2 linked regions of the Kluyveromyces lactis genome follow. The protein of the gene in region 2 purifies or fractionates together with the protein of the main gene of each other region. This does not show direct contact. Links are inferred from orthologs where the notes say so. Each region holds a gene or a part of one and is shown on either strand. Other genes may lie near its edges. The genes, in order: SCC2 and MCD1.

Region 1 (3,936 bases), on a different chromosome or scaffold from region 2:
GGAAAGAGTGAGTAGAGATGCGGTTTTGATATGAAATTGATCGGACAATTGGCAAAAAAATAAAGTAGGTCATATCTATTTCTTGCATTCGATTCACTCAGTTCGTCTGCAGATGCTGCATTCTCAGTAATCTCTTCAATAAGTACATTAACAAGATTTCTTAAAGCATCAAATATCGACTTCGTATCTTCATTCTTATGAATGGAGGGGTTCAATACGAAAAAATGAAAGAAGAACTCCAACAGTTCCTCAGTCTTGCCACCATAACCGATGAGTGTTGATAATAGCTCGAGGGTTTCTGATAAATCAAATCTATGCAGTTTTACGGACAAGTCAGATGCACTATGTCTCAAAATTAGTCTATGAAGTAATAGTTTCCTGGCATTTTCCACGATAACATCCTCTTCATCCTCAATTCGTCTCAAGACTTTTTCTAAAACGAATGTCTTTATTTTCAGGTCGGAACTTGTATCAAGAATCTTTTCATTCATCCGCATAACATGTTTTCGAACTGCTATACTGTCATCGTCAAAGTTACAGTTTATTTCTCGGTAGAATTGAATGTAGGTTGTGGCCTGCTCTAGAAGATCCAAAATTGCATCTCTAACGGAAGCCGAAGAGTCATAGAGTCTGTTTTTTATGGTTTCCTGAACAAAAGGAGTATCTAACATCTGAGGATCCTTTGATACTAATAGGGTCAAACATTTAACTGCTCCTGATTTAAGTTTTACTTTTTGTTGATCCAATAACGAAAGAATGAGCCTCAAAGCGGGTTCATAAAAGTTAAACAACGGACTAAGTGAAACAATTTTCATGTAAAGGGACCGAACTCTTTCATTACCATCGATACCATTATTTATTTCTTTCTCGCTTATTTCTTTCTCGCTTATTTCTGTCTCCCTTATTTCTTTTGCTATTATACGTATAACAAAATTCATTACCTGTGCGTCTGTTTTGTCTATCTCCTTCTGATCTAACATCTCACTGATATAAAAAAGTGATTCATTCCACAATGCTCTATCGGAAAAATATGTCTTGGTCTGCGAACCCAACCAATCGAAACACTCTTTGTACTCATTTTGCAAATTAAATATCCTTTTTACATCCCTACTTTCCTCGGATGCAGCCCTCAGTTTAACGTCTGTCAAAGTGGCAGTAATTTGGCCGACAAGTTGAATAGCAAGCACTTCGAAGTTTCCTGTTCCTTGATACGTAGGGCTGAATATCTGAAACAATTTCGGCAAAAAAGCTTCTAATAAATGATGAGAATACGCCCATTTCGGGTTTCCTATCATAGTTAGCAAATCTTGGATGTAAATCTCCACAATTGATTTGAATTTGAAAGGATTCGTAATCAATCCTTCGAATAAAGTTGTTGTGACGTTATCGATTAGTCCTTTCAATTCCAAACTTGCGGCATTATTCTCGGACAGTACATTTTCAAGCAATTCAGACGTAAAATCTGACAATAGCTCAGCATCAGGCAAAGCATTTATTGACTGGAACATGGCAACAAGGGCGACAGTAAAATACGATGCGTAGCCATTCTCAAATTCATCGACCAATTTCAGTTTTTTAGTGGATTTTGAGACTACTATATCATGCACGTGTGATAATAATTCTTCCGTAATAAATAGCCGCTGAGATGGATACTCAGAAAAAAGTGATATTAATATTCCAAGAGAAAGGTCTTTTATCCGCTCCGCTTGCGATAAAAGCACATTAGTGTTTAAGTGTTGATAGCATCTGTGTAGTAGCATATCACAGCAAATGCACACTGATTTGATCAAAAACATTTCGTCCAAGTATGATTGAGAGGCGACAAACTTTTCCAATAAATTGATGAATAAGAATATATTTCCAATATCTGCATTAATACCTCTTGAGTTGTCCGAAACATGTAACTTCTCGAGCGCATTATCAAGCGCTGAGAACACAGCATTGTAATATTCTTCTAACTGAAGGTTTGCGGATTTGAGATCTATCATCATAACTTCAAGAATTAAAAATGCGCAACCAAACGTAAGGTTATTCAGATCTAAGGACTCAGATTCATTGTCTGATTGATATGCTAGGATTCTTTTGATATTTCTAGTGCAAAGACCCAGTATTTTTTTAAGAGATTGAACATCAATATACTCAAATACCATCGGAAATCCTAGAACTTTATTTATCGTCAACGATATTGCATCTATAGCCTCCGAAGTAGCAACGTAAACATCACCTAATGGCTTCCAGAATTTAGCGTTTTCATTAACACTCCCTTCAGAATTGAGTCCGACAGAATCTAACAATTTCGAAAGATGATCAAGACAAAGTTTTCCAACTTCCAAGTCATTCATCGGATTAGATTGTACACAAATTTGAATCCGTTTGGAATCCAGCTCATTCAGCAATACCTTGTCTTCCCCTGCTTCTAGCCTTCTTTTTTTAGTAGCTGTGTTCTGATTTCCAGCAACATTCGCAACAATACTAGCAGAATCGACCAGGCTTGTAACAGTCAGGCACCTGATTCCTAGCTGTGGAAGATTTTTCAGAAGCTTCAGATCAGGAGCAGTTTCTTGAGACTCATCTCTTAAAGTAATATTATTGGGTCTCCTGAATAAAATGGGGTCCCTGTCGCCTTCGTTAAATGGGTCGAAATCGATAGGGTGAGGGTATAGCCAATGTTCAGATGGGGGTGAACCGAACGCACTGTTACATGAAATACTGATATCTTCGGTTATTGAAGAACTCAGCAAATTAGATAGCCCTGACTTCGGTACTATGTGGTTAATTGGCTGGTACTTCAGTGTTTCAGAGATGCGTTTGGGAATCTCATTGTCAGTTTCGCCTGGAAACCCTTTCGCCATAGCCGCCACTGCTCAGTAATCAGAATATTACTGGAAAGGCAGTATTATTTGAAGAAGATGATAATGCCCAGAGAAAAGCAGATGAAATAGAGCTTCCGGGTGTAAACTATCTGCTGTTGCTTCTTTCAACTTGATGAAATCGTTTGACCGTTCATTGCTGTAGAGATCTAGTATTCGTCTCATTAATTATTTATATATCTATTCGGCTTTCTTGATTTGAAAAAGGCTGCTGCAGTTTTGAGAAAAATATCATGAGAATGATGAGGGAAGCATAAGTAGTCATGAATGTAGCTGAGAGGAGAAAACCGTTAGTTCCTGTACATCTGCATTGCTTAAATCATAGTACTAATTGATATGCTACGTAGAGGCTTCATAAAACAACCCCCTTTCGTGAAGATCTTTAAAATCGTCTCCCCGGAGTCGACAAACGCTAAGGCTACACATTGTGAAGTGGAATTCCCTTTAAAAGTACAAGAGCTCTGGCGTGACAAGCACCACGTAATTTTTAATAAGCCACCCTTGGCCCTTTCTCAATTACCTGACAAACGAACGTGGTACAATACTCACGACTATGATCCCCCAGTGTTATTGGATATTGTTCAAAGCTCTAGTGGAAGCATCCTGAAGGACGGTACATATGAACCATCGTACTACCCCATCCACAGGATTGACACACCAGTATCCGGTGGAATAGTATATGCTGTAAACAAACAGTCAGCACAACAATTTAGTCGAAATCTAAGGTATGGCGGGAATAAAGGATTCTCACTAACTAGAAAGTATGTCGCAAAAGTTGGAAAATCTAAGACTGCGAATGAGTGTAAAGAAGGTCTCATAAAGTGGAATGGTGCAATCACATATTTTCAGCGTGTCGACAATGAACACCTAATTTTACAGTTGGTAACTGGGAAGAAGCATCAGATACGGAAACTTACACAGCAAGTTCTTGATTCGCCAATTTATAATGACTTGAAATACGGTGGTAAGAAGGTTTTTGACAGTGACTTTCAAATCGCATTACATTCAGCTTATATACGGACAAAAATTGGTTTTAATATACATGAGCAAATCATTCCCGTTCCAG
Region 2 (3,389 bases):
ACTTTAGGACTGGGAATGACTGCCGTATATTCTTATTGGAAATTGTCCTGCATTGAAGAAGCTAAGCAGTTGTTAAAACGTGTTTGGAATCAATATCCTTCATCTCTTTACAGGATATACGAAGAAGTGTTACTTGGTGATCCATCCAAATTGAAAATTAAATTAAAACCTCCTACTGTGAGCGCTTCTATCGAGACAAAAGCTTATACTACTAGAATGGGCGCCATTTGGAAGGAAGCGGAAGCTAAGAAGTTTTTACTTGATGAGTTAGCAAGCATTTTTAATTCCACTTCGTTTGACACTGATGCAGTGAAGGATATAAATGATGGCGATGATGATGACGACGTGGCGCCAACATCATTCTTCATCAATAACATTCCAATTAATTTGTTAAGGTTTGCTATTCTTTCTCAAGAGTCATCCGTTATGGCTGCTATTCCCGAAGAAATTTGGTCAGATCATTCTGTGTTTGAATTCGATGTACTACCACCACAACCACATGATAGAGAAAGTGAGTATGTAGTAGAAACAATCGAAGGACTAATTGATAGTAAACATCTAGAAATATCCCAAATGAACAGGTTCGCTGATGAGGAGCTTTTACAACACATTAACCAGTTATCAATACAAGAATACTTGGAGCAGCAGCAACAACAGCAACAACCAAATGAAGAAATCGAATAGCACAACAACTTGAACTGATCTGCCGTCATGTATATTTAAACCAACTTAAAAAAACAGATATTATTAATTATTTATACATAATGTCCGTTATAAAAGTATCCAAATTAAAAGTCTATGCGGTAACAAACGTCTCATATAAGTTTGATTTTCCTAAAATTGTGATTTGTCCAAATGTTTCCTTCTGTTTCAATGATATACAGTCTGCGGTGGCAAGAGAAAGTAACTCAAAGAATGCTTTACTGGCCATTCTTTTTGTTATTACCGCGTTATCCTGGTACTTCGAAGTAAGGATTTTATCAAAAGTAGCTTCACCGGAGCTCATTTCATCTCTCAGTAGAGTTGCCATTTCCACTGTAGATTTAGACACGATTTCACCGGTAGCAAGCTCTACTTTTTGACTTTTTTCCTTTTCAATTGACCCACGAGAGGCAAATTCGTCTGATTGAATGGCTTGGTAATCATTTTCTTCCATGGATGTATCAGCTGCAAGAACTGGAGGTTCATCATCAGCAAACACTGGTCCTTCTGATTCTGCATCAAAGCCCATTTGTTGGTGATCGAATGGATCAGAATTGTGTACCAAACTTCCATCGATACCCAAAGAGATATCTATATCAACATCGGACCCATCAGATTGGCTGGATTGTGACAGAGCTCTAGGCTTCTTTGAAGCTTTATGGTTGAAGAAATTAGATATAATCTTTTGAGGAAGGAAGTCCAGGTCAGAGTATAATTCATCGATGGCTCTTTTTTTCTTTGATATAGCGGACGAAGTCTCATCAGAAACGATAAGAATTGAGTCCGATGGTCCTCCTTTCACTTCAGAATCGTTTAATTCGGCATCAGCATCTATGAGAACCTTCTTAACATTGATAAAGGCTTTATTCCTTGGTGCCCTCTTCTTTACTGCTCTAGGTGGTATGTATGCCTCTGCTTGCTCTTGATGCTCTGGTTCTGTGTCCTTTGGCAGCCCTAGATCAAAGTCTAAGAGTGTATCATCATGCAATGAGTGAGTAATATCAGCCCTTCTCCCGATCTCTACAGACATGTCGCTACCATGGCTAGACTGATTACCAGAAATATTCTGATCATCATCGTTTAATCCCAAATCCCAATCATCGTTAAGTGGTAGCAATTCATCATCATCGTCATTGTCATTTCTAATAGTCAAATCACCTTCATTTTCTCCATCATCCGCGTTTACTTCACTAGCAGTAACACGAGTCCCTTCACCCCATGATTTAGTGTTATTGCTTTGATTAGAATCACCAAGGTCAAAATCTAATTTCAAATGAGATGAATCGTGATGTTCAATAGCATTCAAGTCATCATCTTCATCTGCCAGGAATCGCCTTCCAACTTCTAAGGACATATCCCATGCTTGTTGTTGTGCTGCAATGGCGGATGTTACAGGTGCTGCTCCTTGCACTTGTCTTTCCATTGATCGTTCAGCGATCAAAAAACCTTCTGGCACTTGGATATCTTTCAAGAAATCCAAACTGGGCATCTCCAAGACGTCAAGTTCTGTAACCGCATCTTGCAATAAAAGCTGATCTAACTTTGCCACTGTATCTAGCTGAATTGTGACGCTCTTGTTCAGCGATCCCTTGAAGATAGATTTCACTTTACTCAGTAAGTCTGTGATATCAGTAAGCAGATAGGATGCTTTTTGAGAATAAACTTTTACAACACCATGTAGTAACTCACCGGAAGCACGTAATGTGATAGGTTCCACAGATTCATCATCTAGATTAACACCTGCAGCTTTGGCAATCTCTTCAACAGATTCCACGATATTAGTCTTTGCAATGTTCCGATTGATGCTACTCAAATTGGAAGCCAGCCAGATCTGAGCCAACGGCCCATTGCTTGTATTTAATCTCACCTGAGTATGTGAATTGCTATTTGGTGGCATATACGTTGTTTATTTTTGGATTAGGTGATATAAGGCTCGTGGTTCCTGTTGCAAATGGTATAGCAAATGGATATAAACTTAAGATCGAGATTAGAACTTGATCTTATAAGGAATGGTTAGCAAAATAAAAATGAAATAAAATAGCACTGTGTCTTTTTTCAGAGGTCACGACATTAAAATTCCATAGGTAATATATATATTTGATAAAATTATTGGTAAAGGTGCAATCAATATGATGGAATAGACATACTTCTCATCCAGTGTTTATCAATGATATTTGTTAAAGGATTGCTGGTTATAGATCTCATCACGGAAACGCGTTATGGAGAAAAATCGCGAAAATATTTTTGGGGGAAAACAATGTCTTTTTCTGGGACCTCAAAAGATTTCCCGCCGGAAAAATTTCGATTTCGTGGTATAAAATCCGGGTAACAAGTGAGGACCTTATACCCATTTATTACCCTGCCTTTCTAACTCTTGTTGATGCCAAAACCAGATCATCTCTCTCAGTATGCGCAGTCAGTTTAATCGGTATATATGAATATGAATCTTAAAACTAGACATCAGTTACACACAAATCGTTTCTGCTAAAAAATATAAAATCTAAGTCTTTCAATTCGGTTCTTAATTGATAATATTTTTAACGGGGATAGACAAATTATAATCGATCCAGTGTTTTCTTTGATATTGTTAGAAAGGAAGGAATAGTATATTGAAGAAAGATTTATGTTTGTTGGTCATTAAAACAAAGACTAGAACCCCCTTTTGAAACGGAATCGAGACATCACTT

The links.
Region 1: the proteins of MCD1 (region 2) and SCC2 purify together in Saccharomyces cerevisiae (affinity purification with western blotting; 5 studies listed by BioGRID, with this or other methods). This does not show direct contact. The link is inferred for Kluyveromyces lactis from reciprocal best matches to the Saccharomyces cerevisiae genes MCD1 and SCC2.

The regions. Positions count from the first base shown.
Region 1 is NC_006040.1:1,532,498-1,536,433, reverse strand, and holds the start of SCC2 (cohesin-loading factor complex subunit SCC2), read right to left. Parts: upstream 2,853-3,936; coding exon 1-2,852. Other genes in the region: pseudouridine synthase PUS5, read left to right, coding at 3,207-3,936. UniProt on the Saccharomyces cerevisiae protein: Plays a structural role in chromatin and is involved in sister chromatid cohesion. Forms a complex with SCC4 required for the stable association of the cohesin complex with chromatin, which may act by hydrolyzing ATP from SMC1 and SMC3 heads.
Region 2 is NC_006042.1:1,367,404-1,370,792, reverse strand, and holds MCD1 (kleisin alpha), read right to left. Parts: upstream 2,600-3,389; coding exon 797-2,599; downstream 1-796. Other genes in the region: RQC1 (Rqc1p), read left to right, coding at 1-684. UniProt on the Saccharomyces cerevisiae protein: Cleavable component of the cohesin complex involved in chromosome cohesion during cell cycle. The cohesin complex is required for the cohesion of sister chromatids after DNA replication.